Linked DNA regions of Diceros bicornis minor. The protein of the gene in region 1 interacts with the protein of each later gene in a pairwise test. Links are inferred from orthologs where the notes say so. Each region holds a gene or a part of one and is shown in the gene's direction. Other genes may lie near its edges. The genes, in order: DNPEP and MPP1.

Region 1 (10,194 bases):
GAGGAGCTGTCCCTGCCACCTGGGGGCACGCGCCAGGATCTCCGCCTTGGGAGGTCAGGGCCAGGCCTGCAAGGACTTCCCCTTTGTGGGTGTGAGTGCTCCCTAGACCTCCCCGGCAGCCTACCACAGGGCCTGAAACTCTCCAAGATTAAAGATCAAGAGGGGCTGCCCAGTAACGTGGTGGTTAAGTTCCAGTGCTCTCTGCTTCGGCAGCCTGAGTTCGCAGGTTCGGATCCCGGACATGGACCTACACCACTTGTCAGCCATGCTGCTATTACTGATATCTTCCCCCATTTCACAGATGAGGAAACTGAGGCTCAAAGTGGTATGATGGTAAATGTTTAACAATTAGCTCTCTGGAAGGAAAAAAAAAAGAGCCCTGATTTGTGGTGTTTGCCAATCTCGGTAGTGGAAATACTCCCAGGCCAGTTTCAAGCTAGGAGGCTCATATCGTTGAAGGTCGAATTGGGAAGAGATGGGAGTGGGAGCTGGCTGCAGCACCCCACTGCACGCATGGCCCACAGCTAGTTGATGGAGGAGCCAGGACTTGAACCAGAGTGTGTCTGGTCCCAAGCCCACATGCATAACCACTTTGTTATCCCGTCAACAACTACACAAGATCCTTGACATTTCAGAGGGAAACATCTTAAGACCTTTGCGAAGTGCCAATTTTACAATCCTCCATAAAACCCCCAAGGTTAATCACCAGCACTTCCCTATATCTCTGTTTTTATCACCAACAGGAGCACGTGGTTTTTTTTTGGACGGCCAATGAAAAAAACTTTTTTTTTGAAATAATTATACAGTCACAGGAGGTTGCAAAAAGAGTACAGAGAAGTCCTGTGTACCCTTCACTCAGTTTCCCCTAAAGGTTACATCTCCGTAACTACAGCCCAATATCCCAACCAGGCAATGGACGTTGGTGAAATGTGTGTGGATAGTTCTATGCCATGTTATCCAGAATTGTGAGATTTAGCAAATAAAAATACAGGACACAGTTAAATTTTAAGTGTAAATATATCCTGTGCAATATTTGGGACATATACTGTACTTATAATACTTAGAAATTATTCTTTATTTATCTGAAATTCCAATATAACTGGGTGTCCTGTATTTTAGCTGGCAACCCTAATTTTATCACAGGTGTAGAATCATGCAACCACCACCGTAATCAAGATAGAGAACTATTCCAGAACCACAGCGATGTTCCCTGTCCTATTCCTTTTAGAGTCACACCCAGCCCTTCCTCCACCCTCCCGAGGCCTTGGCAACCACGAATCTGTTCTCTATCTCTAGAATTTTGTTCTTTTTTTCATGCAATATAATACTTGTGGGATCCATCCACATCGTGGCAATTATCAATAGTTTGTTCCTTTTTATTGCTGGAGAGTATTCGATGAGGGCCATTTTCTCACAAAGAACAATTATTATTATTTATTTATTTATTTATTGCTGAGGAAGATTCACCCTGAGCTAACATCTGTGCCCAACCTCCTCTATTTTGTATGTACGTCGCCACCACAGCCTGGCGGACGAGTAGTGTAGGCCCGCCCCCAGGATCCGAACCCTCGAACCCAGGCCGCCGAACTGGAGCATGCCGAACTTAATCACTAGGCCACGAGGCTGGCCCCAAGAACAATTATTTTTTAAAATTTCATTCATTCAATAAATACTTATCGAACATCTACCATATGCCAGGTGCAGACACGGAGCAAGCAAGGAGCTAGTTGCAGTCAGGGTTGGGGTTCTTGCCAGGCAAGTAAGCAAATCCAGACTGGGCAAGGGACTCGAAGGCATACTCAAGGGACTCCATTATAAGGATGGAGCACAGGATTAATGCTGGGTAGGAGGGAAATGGAGACGAGACGAGTAAGGAACAGGAAAAAGACAGGATCAATAGTTCGTAGTTCTGTCTAGGTGAACCATTAATGGAGTTGGTTTCCCTATCTCCTTCCCAGTTCCTTTTTTGTTTAAATATCAACATCAAAAGAAACATTCCATCCTCTTCCCCCTTCCACATGAAGACACAATTCACAATTTCCACAGCAGAAGGTAACAGAGCTTTACGTGGGCATTTTTTATCTGAAGCCTTTAGGGTTAGATGCTAATCAACAAATCCTTACTCACTCACTCAGGGTACAGAAGAAAACAAAATTATGGTCACAAAGTACTTAAAGATCATCTTTCCACTTGTTACTTTTTAAATTTACTTATTTCGTTCTTAAAAGTAGGTAAAACGTGTACATAGGAAAAAATTCAAAAAGTGCAAAAGGATTTATAGGAGAAGAAAGTGTTCCTTCCACCCCAGACCGTCAGCCACCCCATTTCTCCTTCCCAGAGTCAGTTACCATGTTCTTGTGACTGCCGACATATTTTAAACATATAAGTATATTTGTGTGTGCATCTGAGTGTTTACACACACAAACGGCAGCATACCTGCTAGTCTGCACTTTATTTTTTCACTTACTAGTGTTATCCTGGAAGTTATTCCCTATCAGTACCTATAGAGGTGCTTCATTCTCTTTAACCATATAAAGTACTTTCTAAGCCTCCCTCCTAGAACATAATTGGTTGGAAATTATAATCTTCCTTAGCTACTCGCCTCGAGGCATCCTGGAACTTGTAGTCCTTGATCAGTTGAGTCTTGCACGGAAAACAGGACTTGAGCAGAAGACATGTGTTGGAAACTAAAGTACCCTTCCAACCACACTGTAAGAGGACACATGGTACCGTGTTATGCACGTTCCTACCGTTATACCTGGAAGCAAATTATTTATTCATTTAAACAACCAACACATCTACCAGCAATGAGATACCCAGAGCTCTCTTGGCATCAGGAAATCAAGATCATCTGATTCAGCCCCTCTCTAAATGCACCTATTTTAGCAGACAGGGGCAGGACACACACACACGCACGCAGGCACACACACTCCACAATAAATGAATAATGATAGCATTATAAACACAGCTAAGGACAGGTAGGGAAGCTTTTCTCGGGAGGCTGAGGGCAAGAATGATCCTCAGAAACTTTTTTTGGATAGCTAAGTTCCCCCCTTGATCCTCCCACTTCACATCCAAGACCATTCCCTTATCCAGAGACGACCACTCTCCTTCCAAACCTGTTTCCATGCATTTACATATGTATTTACATAAAATCTAGAAATTTAGTTCATTATGTAAGTTTTACCTAAACGCTCTTGCCCTGTAAATATTATTCTGGAAATTGTTTTTTTTTCTACTCAACAATATATCTGGAACTTTTTTCTATTAACCTCACATTATTTTTTTTCTGCCACATGGTACTTTAAAACACTGTGTCTCAACTTTAATGTGCATTCAGGTCATCTAGGGATCTTGTTAATACAAAGATTCTGATTTGGTGGGTCTGGGGTAAGCCCTGAGGGTCTGCAGTTCTAAAAAGTTCTCAGGTCTTATAGATGCTCCTGGTCAACAAATCACGCATTGAGGAACAAAGGTGTAGAGAAGGAGCGAAGTTGTGTGCTACAGCCAACCTGGACCAGCTCATAAGAACTGACTGTCAAATTTCCAAGAATTTTGTGATCCCATTGTTACACACAGCAATCATTAAAAAATTAAATTATATAAACTTACAATTAAATAAATCATATTAAAAACAGATAATAAATACTCAAAAATCATCACTTTCTCAACTATTTTAATATAAACCTATGCTCTTGGGGTTATTTATGTCGATTATGTCTGTATGGTGGAAATCTATACAATGCTATGCTTTTGTGCATCTCTTCCCAACTCCACGTTCAGTTCATGTTGGCAGCTTGGAACCAGCAATGGGGAGGGTTGACACCACAGAAATTAGGAATAAAGGCATGTTACCCCAAGCCTTCTCCAACGTTTCGTACTACCAGTCTTTTTCTATTTTGCTAATCTGACAAATCAAAAACGGGATCTCATTTTTAACTTGCATTTCCCTGATTACAGTGAGACTGGGTCTCTCTTATGTTCATTCGTAGGAATTTAATAGTATTTCTTGTTCTTGTAAATAGGACTTTTTTATCATTATATTTTCTAGTTGATTATGGCACAGGAAGGCTGATGATTTTTAGAATCAGACCACCGCTCCTACCAGTTCTAATAGCTTGTCAGTTTATTTTCTTGGAGGTTCCAGGGACTCATATAACCTACAAATGATGACAAGTTTTACTTTTCCGTATATGCAGCTGTTTATTTGGCTTTGTGGCGATGGCTCTGACTGCAGGTCCCCACTGACCACCGGCGGTCACAGCTGGTTATATCTTACTTCTGATTTGAACAGGACACTTCCGATTTCCCCGCTAATATCTGCTGTAGATTTCTGGCAGACAGCCTTTATCCTTTCTCTTCCTGCTTTCTTAAGAGGATTTCGTTTGGGTTTTTATCAAGAACGGATGTTCAATATATTAAACATTTACTTTCCCTTTCTACGTTACACACTTTGGTGATATTTGAACTTTTCACATTAACCTGTACTCTTTTTTGTGATCAGAAGAACATGAGAGAGTCTTCTTTAAGTTAAATCTCCTTCCCTTATACATTGTACCCCTGTCTCAGCTCTTTTCACTGTCATTAAGTATGTCCCCAGTAGCCAGCATCTGGCCCCTCAGATGAAAAAGATGTTCTCCCCATGTCCCACTCAGCACTGAAACTTTATACATAGTAAGATTTCAATAAACGGTTAGGGGACCGGCCCCGTGGCTTAGCGGTTAAGTGCACACACTCTGCTACTGGTGGCCTGGGTTCGGATCCCGGGCGCCTGCTGAGGCACCGCTTCTCCGGCCATGCTGAGGCCACGTCCCACATACAGCAACTAGAAGGATGTGCAACTATGACATACAACTATCTACTGGGGCTTTGGGGGAAAAAACGGAGGAGGATTGGCAATAGATGTTAGCTCAGAGCTGGTCTTCCTCACAAAAAAAGTAAATAAATAAAAAATAAAATAAAAAAATTAATGGTTAGGGAATGCCATGAATTTAACCCATCACCTGGTGTGTATCTTCTGGAACACTAACCTGCAATATCTATTCCTTTGAAGTGAGGGCTGCAGGACCTTCCAGCTACTCTTCCCCGAACATTCCCACCCCAGGTCGAACGTTCCCACCCCAGGTTATAAGAGGCACGTTGTTCCGTTGACCAGTAATCCCTGGAGTGTTGATAACACCCCTATGTTATCTGTTGGGCCCTGTTTTGAACCTAGGGGCCACCAAGAGTCCTGATCAGAATCTACAGCTAGGCAGGTGCCTGAGTTTTTTAAATTGCTACTCACCACTCTTGACATATGAATACTGGAATTGCCACCAAGAACATATGGAGGTTTTTTTTCCCTGTCGTTTCAAGAAATGGAAAGAGTACATACAGATTCAAGTCAAATCCCACATGCATCCAAACAGCTGTGTGATCTTGGTCAAATCATGAACTTCTGTCCCTCAGGGCCCTCTGTGTAACATTACACAGAGCAAGGTGCATAGAAAAAGGCCCAAAGAAGATCTGAGAGTGGATTGTTCCCAGGCCCCCGGAATCGAATTAATTGAGTCCAAACCCCACCTCTGGCCATTTACTACCTTGGACAGGTTACTCGTCTCTGTATTTGGGTTTGTTCATGGATAACATTGGGACAGTATAAGTACAAAGTTGATAGGGCAGTTGTGAAGATTAAACAAGGTAACACGTTAAGCTTGACCACCAAGCTAAAGCTCATCGTCAGCGCTCCATGAACACCAGCCATGTTGCTTTTATTATCTCAAGGCTGCCTGTGGAGAGAGAGAGCACTTTGTACAGCACCCGTTGGACCAGGTGAGCTGGCGGGGACGAGTTTTTTCTCGGACTCTGACGCGGGGGACGAGCGGGGACGACGGGTCTCGGCTGTCCTCGCACCTCCGGGACGGCAGAGGGCCCCCGCCACCGCCGCGGACGGTGCGGCGAGGGGCGGGGCGGACGGTGCGGCGAGGGGCGGGGCGGACGGTGCGGCGAGGGGCGGGGCGGACGGCGGGGGCGGGGCGGACGGTGCGGCGAGGGGCGGGGCGGATGGTGCGGCGAGGGGCGGGGCGGACGGTGCGGCGAGGGGCGGGGCGGACGGCGGGGGCGGGGCGGACGGCGCGGCGAGGGGCGGGGCGGACGGCGGGGGCGGGGCGGGCCGAGCGCCGGGGCCGGGCGAGCAGAAGCAGGCCCTGGCGGGGGCTATGCAGGTGGGTGTCCGCCGCCGCCCCGCTCGAATTTCGATCCCAGACCCGACCCTGCGTCCGCTGGGGCACACGCTTAGCAGCGCGCTGAAGTGGGGGCCGCGCCCGATCAAAGCGAAACCGAAAGCCCGGCCCGGGTGACCTGACCTTCCTGGGTTGCCAAGGGGTGGCCTGCAGAGACTGGCGGGTGGCGGGGAGGTGGGTAGTCCCTAGAGAACACGTGGTGCAGGCCGGCTCAGAGCTAGGGGCGCGCTCGGACGTGGGGAACCCGCCGGGATTTCTCAACTGGGCAGGCACGTGGGGGCCGGACTTAGGGGGCGGGGCTAAAGCTCGGATTAGGGGGCGGGCGCTCTTGGACGAGCTGGGCGGAGAGCGAGGCTGGGGTTGTGATACTTTGGCTGGAGGGCCGGAGCTTTCAGTGGAGAGAGGTTCGACCCGGAGTCTGCGCGTCTCTGTGGGGAAAGGGGCGGAAGCAGAGGCTTGAGCCTTGGAGCGATCAGTTCGGGGGGATTTGCAGGGGGGAGTCCCCGGAGCCTGGATGGTAAGTCAGGCGTCCCAGACCTCATCGGAGTCTGAGCGCCCCCCTCCTCTAGGTGGCCATGAGTGGCAGGGCCCGCAAAGAGGCAGTGCAGGCCGCGGCCCGGGAGCTTCTCAAGTTCGTGAACCGGAGCCCCTCTCCTTTCCACGGTAAGTGACCAGGGCAGCTGAGGAGGGTGGGCCCCGTGTGGCCCCTACCGGCTTCCATCGCTATGAGAGGCTTCTTTCCCTACAGCCGTGGCCGAGTGCCGCAGCCGCCTCCTCCAGGCTGGCTTTCATGAACTCAAGGAGACGGAGACTTGGGATATCAAGCCCGAGAGCAAGGTACCAGGGGTGTGGTGGGAGCGGAGAGGCAGGAACCCAGGCTGGGTCTCAAAGTCTGTGTGCCAGCTGGCTGGCTAATCCAACTCCCCCTCCCTGCCAGTACTTCCTGACCAGAAACTCCTCGACCATCATCGCTTTTGCTGTGGGAGGCCAGTATGTTCCTGGTAATGGTTTCAGCCTCATTGGAGCCCACACGGACAGTCCCTGCCTCCGGGTAAGGAACTGGGGCTGTGCTGGGGTAGGGGAGGCATCAGAAGAAGGAGTACAGGGCAAAAGAGAGCCCGGGGGTACAAATCAGGGGCTCTGTTCACTAGAGCAAGGAAGAGGACTTGTCGCCCCCTTCCTCCCCATCTTGAGCCCTTGTCTGTCACAAATATTCATTTATGTTACTTAGCTTTGAACGGTCTGTCTCATCTCCAAGCCTTGTGTTGCGGCCTCTGATTCTCGTTCCCCATGCTCACACTCAGGTGAAACGGCGGTCTCGCCGCAGCCAGGTGGGCTTCCAGCAGGTTGGTGTGGAGACCTATGGCGGTGGGATCTGGAGCACCTGGTTTGACCGTGACCTGACCTTGGCTGGACGTGTCATTGTCAAGGTGGGCACTGGGGTTGGACCTGGGAGGTTCTCAGCTTCAGCTGCTTGGAGATTGGCTATCACCTTTCTTCGGGGTACCTGTGGACAGCCCCCCGGGGCAGGAGGGTAGGGCAGTCGGGGTCAGGGGATCACCCTGGTTAGTCTGGGTGAAGTGGGGGCTTTAGCTGGCTGTGGTTGGGAGGTGCCCTGGGCTGACCTGGCCTGGGGGGCCACAGTGCCCGACCTCAGGCCGGCTGGAGCAGCGGCTGGTGCACGTGGACCGGCCCATTCTTCGCATCCCGCACCTGGCCATCCATCTGCAGCGAAATGTCAACGAGAACTTTGGGCCCAACATGGAGATGCACCTGTGAGACTGGGCAAGGGCTGTGGTGACTGGGAGGAATGGGGGGTGGCACCAGTGATGGAAGGGTGATGGTGGGACCTGGGAGACCGCTCCTTACTGGGGACCACCATCAGCTTCTCCTCTTAGGACCCAGCTGGAAATTGAAGGGCAATAGCAGTTTCCCATCAGGAGATGCCTGAGCTCAGGGGTGCCCTCCAGCCCTCCCCAGCCCCCCATCACATGTCTCCCCACAGGGTCCCCATTCTTGCCACGGCAGTCCAGGAGGAGCTGGAGAAGGGGACTCCAGAGCAAGGGTCTCTCAATGCTGCAGTAAGAGAGTCCCTGCTCATGGGGAGGGGTAGGCCGAGGGGGAGGGGGAGGAAAACAGAGCCTCTTCCCAGCATCCTTCTGCCCTGCAGGATGAGCGGCACCACTCAGTCCTCATGTCTCTTCTGTGTGCCCACCTGGGGCTGAGCCCCGAAGACATCTTGGAGATGGAACTCTGCCTGGCAGACACACAGCCTGCGGTGAGGAATGGCTGTAGGCACTTGTGGCTGGGGACCTCTGGGATCCCAGCCTGTCCCAGCATGTCCCCAGAGGCACTCATCACCTCTGCCAGTCCCCCGGTTACCGTCATCCCTGTTCTTGCCAGTAGACACCATCCTTTCTGCCTCCAGGGCAGTGGTTCTCCAAAGGGCAGTTTCCTTCTGCAGACCTGCCTACTCGGACTGTCTGGGCTGGAGCCTGGGACTTGACCTTTCCACAGATTCCTCAGGAATTTCTGCCACGGGTGGTCCCTGTCTACTGTGACCCACGCTGGCCTGAACCTCTGAGAACAAGAGGCCTGGCTGTGACGGCCCTGTTTCTGGAGCCTGTCCTCGTGTCCTTCCCAGTTACCAACAGTAGGAGATTGCCAAGAATTGGATGCTCGGTCCTATTTGAATGTGCACTATGGTCCTGTTTCTTGCCTTATCTCCTTCTGTTTATTTCCTTAGCTTTTGTTGTGACCCTTCACCCCGCCCTTTTCCTGTCCCACAGGGAGTGTGTGGGAACTACAGGCCTCCATCCTCCTGTCCCTCAGCTGCAGCCCGGCCCCCTTCACCATTCTCCGCTCAGCCCTGTGCAGCGGGGATCATAGTGCCCTAGGCCAGGGGTCGGGGAGAGGTTGCACAAGGAGGCTTACTCAAACTCAGGCCCTTGGGAACAGGGGGATGCAGGTGAGTTGGAGCAAGGGGTCGAAGTTCAGGCTAACTGTCCTATCTTTCTAGGTCCTGGGTGGGGCCTATGAGGAGTTCATCTTTGCCCCTCGGCTGGACAATCTGCACAGCTGCTTCTGTGCCCTGCAGGTGAGGGGCTGGGGTGCTCCCAGGCAGCACATACCACCAGGAGAGCTGGAGAGTTTGGGGAGGGGCTGCCTCAAGCCCCAGCAGGTCGTGAGATGGCTGCTGGCCATCCCCGCAGTCTGCCGGTCCTGGGTGGCCCACAGGGACGGGACTAAAGGCTGCAGCCTCAGTATCTCCGTGTGGCCCCATCCTCCACTGGCCTGGGGCCAGGGGCTGAGGTAGGGGAAGGTGGAGAGGCTGTTTAGGGCACCAGTGTCCTGTCCTAACCTGCTTCTGCTGCTTCTCCCTTAGTTAACCTCTGCTTCAGGGGAAAGGCCCTAGCGTCCCATAAGGCAGTATCATCCACCTCCCTCTGGCCCCCCCACCCCAGGCTGAAGTGCCCCCAGCCTTCTCTCTGTGCCTTGGAACCTCAGTGGGGTGGTCTCTCTTCTTCCTAGCCACCTTGGTATTCCCCACCTTCTTTCTGTCATAGTCAGTTCCCTCTCTCCTCACCCCTCCCTCTGCCCTTTCCTACCTCTCTTCCCTCCCCATCCTGTTCTTGGAGACGGGCTTTGGGCTGTACTTGAGACCAGAACCAGACCTGGGACACATACCGTCTTCTGCCACCAGCTAGTCAGTCATGTCACCTTGATGGAGCCACAGTCACCTCTTGGACCTCGATCTTTTCACTGAGGACTATTAGTTTACATGATCTGTTTGGTCCTTTGGACTTGGCAGGATTCTCAGCCCTTCCCCTCCACCTGACACGTCCTCCTGCCTTTTGCATGGGAAGGTGTGGGAGAAGAACACCCAAAGGGCAGTGTCCCATCCCGTTACAAGGCCCCCACGCCAGGCAGTGCCCTGAGAGAGGAAGGCCAGTGAGAGCCCACACCCACTTCG
Region 2 (9,767 bases), on another chromosome or scaffold:
TTGCCAGCCCCTTGGCCTGTTGTGTGGCCTGTGGTGGCAAAGCAAGGTGAACTCAGTTAAGACTACACTGAAGCTGAGTGGAGGGTCTGAAAGAGGCTACTGAAAGCATTGCTCAAACCAAAAGACCATGGCCTGCACTAGAGGCCAATAGGGGACAAGAGACAACAAAGAACAAGAAACACCCCTATGGACACCAGTGGGTGCCAGCTCACACTTGCAAGCTGAGGCGAGGGGGCAATTTCACTCTATAGCATAGTATGAGCCACATACCCTTTGTCCCACACTTCCACATGTCAGGAGGAGAACATCATTCTTCACAAACCTGAAGTGACCATTTAACTTGTCAACTTACAGTAAGCTTTAAATCAGACTGGAAATTTACTTAAATTTTTTCCACTAACCAGCAGGTGGGAGCTTGGGAGGGAAGTCATAAGTTACAATAAAACAGAAGAGCTGCATTTTCTCTGAACATCCAAGTTTCCATGTTGGTAGCGTTTGGGACTCTACTACACAAACAGTAATTTGATGAGCATCCTTACACACATCTTTATAGTCTCTATGTCTTTTTCAACTTGTTGTTTAAGATAAATTGCTGAATGTGGAATTGTTGGGTTACAGGCTATGACCACTTTACGGTTTCTGATACTGTTCCACATAAGGTTTGTACCAATTTACTCTCCAGGCTCACAGCCCTCTCTCTTCCTACTGTCCTAAACATTGTGTTGTTACCTTGGTTTTCTTTATATTTTTGCCGATTATGTTTGGCAATAAATCATTTAATTTTGCCTGCATTTTTTGAACTCTTGAAGTATCCTGAGGCTTGGTGCCCCAGAAATTTTAAACTTCCTTTTTTGAAGTATAGCACACCTACAGAAAAGAGCACAGAGTGAACAAAGTCATTGTCCTCCTCCCCCTCCACATCACCAGCCCCTTCTCACCCCCAAGGTAACCCCTGTCTTGTCTTCTAACACCACAGCCTTGCCTGCTTTTTTTTTTTTTTTGGTGAGGAAGATTAGCCCTGAGCTAACATCTGTTGCCAATACTCCCCTTTTTGCTGAGGAAGATTGGCCCTGGGCTAACATCCGTGCTCATCTTCCTCCACTTTATATGTGGGACACCTGCCACAGCATGGCTTGACAAGCAGTGTGCAGGTCCCTGCCTGGGATCTGAACCGGCGAACCCAGGGCCACTGAAGCAGAGCGTGCAAAGTTAACCACTAGGCCACCAGGCCGGCCCCACCTTGCCTACTTTTAATCTTCATAAAAACTAAATCATATGGATGTATTCTCTGATTTTCTTCTTTTACTTGTTTTGTTTTGAGACTCATCCATGCTGATGCTTGTTGCTTCACCCATTCTGTATAACGTCGTATTGTATGAAAAGAGCCCTACTCATTTAGACCATCAACTGTAGAAGGACATTTGTATTGTTTCTGGATTTTTAATAAAGCTTCTACAAACATTATTGCACAGGTCTCCTCATGCACATGCGCAAGAGTTTCCATAAAGACTATACCCTGTGATTGACTTGCTGGGTCAAGGGAAGTGCACGTTCCACCTCAGTCTCAAAGCAATTGCCTCAAGTTACGCTACTACCAGCAGTAGGAATGTGATGTTCCCGTCATACCACATCCTTGAGAACATGCAATATCATCAGTCTTTCACTTTATTTGCCCATCTGGTGGACGAAAAATTGTATCTTGTTTTCTTTTTTTTTTTAAAGATTCTATTTATTTATTTTTCCCCCCAAAGCCCCAGTAGATAGTTGTATGTCACAGCTGCACATCCTTCTAGTTGCTGTATGTGGGATGCGGCCTCAGCATGGCCGGAGAAGCGGTGCGTCGGTGCATGCCCGGGATCCAAACCCGGGCGTCCAACAGTGGAGCGCGCACACTTAACCGCTAAGCCATGGGGCCGGCCCTACCTTATTGTTTTCTTACTTTCACTTCCCTGATAACTGATGAGATTGAAGACTTTTTCATATGTTCATGGATCATTTGTCTTTCTTTCCTGTGAAATTCCTGTTAAGGAATTTTGCCCATTTTTCTAATTTGTAGTTTCATCTAGTCCTTATTGGTCACAGGAATTCTTTATATATTCTGTATATTAATGTTTTGTAGGCTATAGATGTGGAAAATACCTTCCTCCAGTTTTAGGACTGTATTTTCACTCTCAATATGATGTATTTTGGTGAGTGGAAGTATTTATTTTAATGTAGTCAAATTTGGCAATCATTTTCCTCTATGTTAGTGTTCTTGGTGTGTGTTTAAGAAATCATTTTTCTACCCCAAAGTCATAAAGGAAGTCTCCTATTTGTCTTCTAAAAGTTTTATAGTTTTGCATTTCACATTTAAGTCCTTAAGCTACTCAGAATTATTTTTGGTAAGGTGTGAGGTCAAGTCCAATTTCATTTTTTTTAATACAGGTATTGTGAGAAGCTATACTTTTCCACTCATGAACTTTGAACTGAATTTCTGTGCCTAAGGGTAGTTCTAGGAATTGAGAAAAGGAGGTAGTTGCAATAAATTCCGAGAAGCAATAAATTCCAAGGAGCAAAACCAGATTCTGAGCAATGAGCACCCTGAACCAGAACTGGCTGACCAGCAAAAGGCCTGAGAATGTTGAAAAAAAGACAAGCTGTGTGACCGTCCACCCTCTGAGTCAGCCGACTTGTTCTCCCAGTACTTTTCCACCCTGAGCTTTGCCTCAATAAAAACTTCAACTAAATTTTGCTCAAAGAATCACTCTCTCTGAAGTTCTTCCAACTGCAATTATTTGGATAAAGTGTTTGCCTTCACCTCTAACCAGTCTTGGTTTCCATTTTGATAATATGGATCCCCAAAACGCCCAGTACCACTACTACCACTCAGTGCAAGTCCATCCTTTCCCTACTGCTCTGCAATGCCACCTGTCATGTTACCAAGTATCTAAATATGCACAAATCCGTTTCTAGTCTCTCTTCTGTTCCATTGGTCTATTTGTCTACTTTTGTGCCTATGCCACACTCTCTTAATCACCATAGCTTTCTTACAGGTCTTGCTATCTGGAAGGCAGGTCCCCCCACCTTGCTCTTCTAGAGAGCTTCGGCTATCCTTGTTCTTTACAACTCCACACATCTTTTAAAATCAGATTGTCAAGTTTCACAAAACATATCTGTTGAGATTTTTATTGGAATTGCATTGAATCTATAGGCCAATTTGGGGGGAACTGACATCTTCATAAGAAAATAGGTTAGTGGTTGCCAGGGGCTAGGGACAGGGGACTGGGGAGTGACTGTTAATGGGTACAGGGTTTCCTTTGAGGGTGATGACAAAGTTCTGGAATTAGATAGTAGGGGATGGTTGTACAACTCTGTGATTATACTAAAAAACACTGAATTTTTCACTTTAAATGGGTGAATTTTATGGAAAGAAAGACAGAAACTATTTCTTAAGTATTGATATCAATCACTATAGCCATTTAACATATAAAAACGGGAAAATTGGACCCAGTTTATACCTCTCAAGCTCAGTCTGACTAGACCCACGGAGATTCTGACACCTCCTATCACTTCTAGATCCAGCACTGAACTGTGGCATGTGGGATGACTCCCTAGTGACTGCCAAGACCCAGGCAACACAACTCAGAGGTGTGGGAAAATTAACACATGGCTGGGTAAACTTTGACCAGTGAGAGAGATGAGACCAAAAGACGCTGGCAGATCAGTTCCTTTCCCCTCCTTGACAATTTCAAGATACTGTGGTTCTATACAGCATGTCTAGACGCATCTAGGGAGACTGAGAAACAAGCTATACTTTCTTCAATAGCAATGGCTAGCTCAGGAGCACAATTTATAGTTTCTGTCCATCCTTCTCTGCCTCACTTCCCTTTTTCCCTCACTCATACACCCATGGGATTGGATCCTACCATAAAGGTTTAGCACATATGTTCTGATTCAGGCTCTGTTTTATAGTGAACCCAGAAACCAATCTTCCAGCTATAATATCTTGCCTTGGGCTTCAGAGGAGGCCTGCTTCATGGGGAGCTGGGGGAAAGAAGAATGGTTTGGCTCAGGAGAAGGAGCAAGACCATGCATACTATGGTTTCTTTACCTGGACAAACAAGGCAACTCTAATTTTGAATATTTTGTATGTGCATAGAGGAAGGCCTGGAAGGTTACAGACCGAACTGGGGAAGGTTGTTTCCTCTAGGGAGTGGGAAGGGGTGAGGAAGTGTTTTTCTCTATTTTATATATGCATGTATTTCTGATTCGTTTTCTTCTCGTTTCAATAATATTCCATTGTGTGGATATGCCACAGTGGATTGGCATTTGAGTTGTTCACTGGTTTTTGCTATTAACAAAATATTTTTATGAACATTGTTGTACATGGCCCTCGTTGTACCAATTCAAGAATTTCTGCTGGATATATATACCTAGGAATGGAATTGCTGGATGAGAGGGTAGATGCATGTTCAATTTTAAGAGATAATGGAAAACGGTTTTCCTAACTCGTAGTACCAAGTTTGACTCCCAGTAGCAATGTTCAAGAACTCATATGGATTCACATCCTCTCCAGCAGTTGATATTGTTAGACTTTTTAATATTTGATAATTGAATGGGTGTACAGTGGTATTTCATTGTAGTTTTGATTTGCATTTCCTTGTCACTAACGTGGTTGAATATCTGTTCATTTGTTTATTGGTCATATGTGTTTCTCCATCTGTGAAATGTTTATTCATGCTTTTTACCCATTTCTCTACTGGATTGTTTGTGTTTTTCTTATTAATTTGTAGTCCTTTATATATTCACAATACGAATCCTTTGTCACTTGTGTGTATTGAAAATACTTTCTCCCAATGCATATCTGGTCTTTTTTGCTTTTTACTTTGTCTCTTGATAAGTAAAAGTCGTTAATGCTAGCAAAGTCAAAGTTATCAATATTCTGTTTTATAGTAAATGGTTTGTTTGCATTGTTTAAGAAATCTTTCTCTACCCTAAAATCTAAAAGTTCCTTGCTGATGTTTTCTGTCAAGAGCCTTAAAAGTTGTGTTTTTAACATTTAAGTCATTAATCCATCTGGAGTACATTTTTTTTTCATATGGCATGGAGGAGGGTTCCAGTTTCATCTCTTTCAATATAAATAACCATTTTCCAGTTTCAGTTAATGAGTTCCTCTTGACTTCCTTAACACGCCACCTTGATCATATCCCACAGTTTTACACATGCAAGGGTGTGTTTCTGTATTCTCTAATCTATCCCATTGCTCCATTAGTCTATTCCTGCAGCAAAATCACACTCTGAATTTCAAAGGTCTTGCTCTCTCTCTGTCTCAGTCTCTGTCTGTCTCAGTCTTCTATGGTTCCTTTAGGGTAATCTTGGGGAAGGGAGCCATCAATCACGTGAGCTCAAGCCTTTTAGCAGAGAAAACTGGGCGATCCGGCTCCAAATTCTTGCCCTTGGATTTTCTCCTCTTGGCTATGAGCCATTGGAAGGTCTGAATCAGATTATACAGAGAAATGATCTGCTTATGATACTGTGAGGTTACTAGCTTGGGGTAAAGGGGGTCAGGTTTTTATCAGGTAAAGGTGTATACATATGGTGGACAGCCCTGAGCCCTGTAAGCCCAGTAAATGTGTGTTTTGTTCAGAAAGCTTTCCATCATTTAGACTGCTGTTTTAACGCCACCAATGCAATAGGATGCTAAGGAATCCTGCTGTAAGATTCCTAAGGGATATCGGCTCCCGTCGCTTTCACTGATCCCTCAAAATTTTCATGGCATTAACAGCAGCCGATGTGGCCTCAGACAAGTAAAAACAGTTTGTTGTTGGAGGCAATCAGGTCTTTCATTACTGAACTGCAGACAGCAATGTAAATAACAGGGCACCAGCAGCGTAGGAGCCTCAAGGGCATTTTCGCAACGTCCTGTGCCCGCATCGATTTATGGGTAGAGCCCGGAGTTGAAGGAGCGGCTTCCCTGCCATCCCCACGAATTTGGCGAGGGTGTGGGCGGTACGCTTAACCAGCTGGAGGCTGGGGGGCCCTCCGCAGTTTGGGCGCCGTTTTCTTTATTCCCACGACCCCTCCGGGACTCAGCCGCAGCGGCGGTGGCGAGAGCTGCGCTTCCTTCCGGCCCTCAGGACCCCGGGCGCCAGCCTTCGCGGGGGCCCGGGCGTGGGCGGAGCTCCGCCCCCTCCCGCCTGGCGCGCAGCCTGCGGGGTGGTGACCGGCCCAGTCGCGTCGCGACCCGCTGCCTCCGCCTCCGCCTCCGCCGTTCCCCAGGCCCCCGGCCTGGCACTCCCGGCTCCGCCCGGACCCGAGTCACTGCTTCCCTGGGTTCCGGCTCCTGCAAGATGACGCTCAAGGCGAGCGAGGGCGAGGGCGGGGGCAGCATGCGCACCGCGCTCTCCGACCTCTACCTGGAACACTTGCTGCAGAAGCGCAGCCGGCCCGAGGTGAGCGGGTCCTGCGGGTCCCCAGGGCGCGGGGTGCGGGGCCGGGACTCGGCTCCAGGCCGCGCTGCTCGCCGCGGGACCTCCCCCGACCGCGGCCCTGCCTCCAGGGGGCCTGTCCTCGGGGGGCCTCTCCCCAGGGTGGAGGCCGCGGCGGCCAGAGGAGTTCCTGCGGGGCTTCGGGTGTCGTAGGTCGTTGCCCCCAGCACCCCTTGTAGGTGGAAATAGGAGAGGCCGCGGCCTGGACAGAGCGCTTATTAAGGTCAAGGAAAACTTCGTGGATGGAAGTCAGGGTAACAGAAACACTTTAAGGAACAGATCCAAGAGTAGGTTTGCGGGGTAGTTGTTGAAATGCTTGTATTTGGGTCACCAAAAAAGGTTATAAAAGCCAAATCTGGCTCTAAAGTGCTCACTCACTGTCCCTCTGCATTTAGGCAGGGCCCCCTGTGCTAGGGTGTAAATGGAGTGGCCTGTGTATACTTGTGGGTGGACAAGGAATCCAAGGATTTCAGAGGTAATTCTGCCCTCCAGATTCCTGTGATGGCCGGTTAATAGCTGTTAACCTGTATCTTCAAAGATGCCCAGAGGGAAGGTTGAGCATTTTCTTATTATCTCTCATAGTTCCGGGTGTGGGTTGGACCCAGCAAGGTAAAGTTGTCACTCACCGTCTCTCAGGCAAGGGCAAAGCCACCAGAACGTTCACTCACTCACTCATCTGGAGGCTGAGGCTGGCTGTCAGTTGAAGCCATCAGCCAGAAGACAGACCAGCATGGTGGCCAGGTATTAAGAGTGAATATCCACAGAGATAGAGAGAGAGAGAGAGCCAGGCAGAGGCTGTGTTGCTTTTGATGACCCACCCTCAGAAGTCATAGTGTGCATCTCTTTCCTAGACTTAGAGATCGTCCAGGGCAAGGCTGTTTCACAGTCACTTTTTTAATTTTAAATGCCTAATAAATGGGTCCTCAGAAATGTTTGCTTAATTAGCAAATGACTGAAGAGGTGGATATTAGAGATTTAGCGTAACCTTCTGCTTTCACAGATGACCAAACTGAAAATCCACGAGGTAAGGCAAACAGTAGAGCTGTAGACTCTGGGCATTAGCTTAAGGAAACAATTGATAAGCCTCAGAACTGAGGCTAGATTTTGTATCTGCAGAGTCAAAGCTCAGTGTACTTTCTGCTTCACCACATTGCCTTTCCTTTATACTACACTCAGAGTGCAGTGTTCATACAAATCATGATCACCATACTGTAGGCATAAAGGATTGCCACAATGAACAGGTGGGGAAGACGTCATTGTTATTCAGATGACAAGACAAAATTGGAAGTTATGCAGTGGAATGTGCACTAGGAGGGAATCAGGGTCTAAAACTACCTGGTTCCACATAAGGTTGGACATGTGATGTTTTTTCTTCCCCATAATCAACTCACTTGGCTGAGCCTTAACTTTTTCAAAAAAATCTCTTTATTAAATTTACTTTCGGCAGCTTTGAGGTATAATTAGCATATGTGTAATTCACGAATTTAATGTGCAGTTCGATGAGATTTGACAGATGCATCCAGTCATGTAACCATTACCAAAACCATACTATAGAACATTTGCATCACTCCAGAAAGTTCTCTCGTGGCCCTTTACAGTCACTCCCCCACTTTGGAAACCTGGAAACCACCCTGGGAATGAATCTGCTTTCCAGCACTATCATTTTGCCTTTTCAAGACTGCCTTATAAACAGAATCCAGCTATATGCAGTCCTTTCTCTCTGGCTCCTTTCCCTCAGCACAACCTGGGCCCAGTCTGTAACTTGATGACCAGACTTTGTGTAAACCTGTCTGCTCCTTATGGGCCGACTGGAGAGATTGCTTGCCTTTTTGAAAACAGGCCCCATCACTACGAGAGTTATGTTGTGGGCACATCCTCTGAGTAAACAGTAGTTTTTGTGGAGCTATGAGTTCACCCTAAAATACTGGATGCAGTCTACCAGTTAGCCAGTTTGTTTTGGTGTTATTCAAGGATTTGAAGAAGATGAAATTAGAAAACTTGCTAAATCCCTGAATGAAATAGCATCCTAGTCTGCCAAGGTGTGGACATCATGGGGAGAATCTCCATATGGTGAGGGGTGGCTTGACCCCGTGAACCTGCTGATTCTTATTTCTTAAGATTCGCCTTCTCTTTGGGGCTCTTTCTAGTCTTTGCTGCCAACGCTAGGCTCTGCCTTTCACTTGCTGTGTGGCCTTGGGCAAGCTGCTGAAGCTCTCTGTGCCTTAGGTTTCTCTTCTCTGTAAAATGGACCTGCTTGGAGGGTTGTGGTGATGTTTACCTGAGGCAATGCTTATCAAGCACTTTGAACCACACCAGGACATCCAACATCTCCCTGAGAGCTGCCTGTCCAGTCGCAGTCAGCACGTTTTCCTATACTGGCAAGAAGCAGGAAAACCTGTGAGGAAGTTGTTGGCTTTAATGGAATTCATAAAATTCTGTTACTGAAGGCTTCATTTAAGGGGATTGCTTTCTGAAAAGTTCTAAAGACTCAAAACCCAAAGTTTCACTTCCAGTCATAGTCCACATTTAATAAAGTATTGTCAAAAGATAATTTTGCAGTATGTTTGAACTGTAGCCTGTCTCCCATATTTAAGTATTTTTCCTTCCTTGGAGAAACTAATTTTATAAGCTCTCTCTGGCCTTATTCTTTACAGCAGTATCCATTAATGCGCATAGAATTGGTTGTAAAATTCCTAATACTGCTTTTCTCTTCAGTCCTGTTTGAAGCAGCACTTTTCCCATGACCTGAAGCAATAGGTTGAGAATCCCTGAAAATTCACTTGGGCCTATCCCACATCAACAAATGGCCTAAGCAGGCTCCAGGTGAGTTTCTACTGAGAAGACCTATCTGTTGATTCTTAGGCCATGAGATGCGGTATTACTCCACACTGGTAATCTCTCATTCTGACACAGGATTGTTGATTGCCTACTGTGTACAGGCCTGGTGCTGGGGCCAGGAAGTCAGTAAGGGAGGACACAGAGGCAGGTGTGGGGTGCTGGGAAGTTGTCGGAGCCTGAGTCGTGTGGTCTCTAGGATGTAATTGGTGTATAGCACTCCAGGCAGGGGCAACCGCCTGTGCAAAGACATCCAGGTTCTTGCTAAGCGTGGCACCTTCTGGGCTGGCAAGAAGCTGACTGAGTCTGGCCGGTCTGTGGTGTGCATTGTCAGTGAGGCTGCTCCTGATGTTCTCTGATTTTGCCTAAGGAAGAACTTTTGCTCCAGACTTGGATCTGGTTGCTTCATGTGAGGAGGGAATTTTTCCATTTGAGGTTTTTCTTTTCACAGAAAGGATAATAGAA

Evidence for each region.
Region 2: the proteins of DNPEP (region 1) and MPP1 interact in binary tests that used the Homo sapiens proteins (3 or more experiments, as listed by UniProt). The two-hybrid records come from large-scale screens. The link is inferred for Diceros bicornis minor from reciprocal best matches to the Homo sapiens genes DNPEP and MPP1.

The regions. Positions count from the first base shown.
Region 1 is NC_080776.1:9,660,507-9,670,700, reverse strand, and holds the start of DNPEP (aspartyl aminopeptidase), read left to right. Parts: upstream 1-6,145; 5' UTR 6,146-6,197; coding exon 6,198-6,203; intron 6,204-6,270; exon of another isoform or gene 6,271-6,289; intron 6,290-6,790; coding exon 6,791-6,884; intron 6,885-6,969; coding exon 6,970-7,058; intron 7,059-7,158; coding exon 7,159-7,272; intron 7,273-7,525; coding exon 7,526-7,651; intron 7,652-7,865; coding exon 7,866-7,996; intron 7,997-8,226; coding exon 8,227-8,302; intron 8,303-8,391; coding exon 8,392-8,499; intron 8,500-9,240; coding exon 9,241-9,318; intron 9,319-10,194.
Region 2 is NC_080781.1:139,172,399-139,182,165, forward strand, and holds the start of MPP1 (55 kDa erythrocyte membrane protein), read left to right. Parts: upstream 1-5,978; 5' UTR 5,979-6,329; coding exon 6,330-6,431; intron 6,432-9,767. UniProt on the Homo sapiens protein: Essential regulator of neutrophil polarity. Regulates neutrophil polarization by regulating AKT1 phosphorylation through a mechanism that is independent of PIK3CG activity.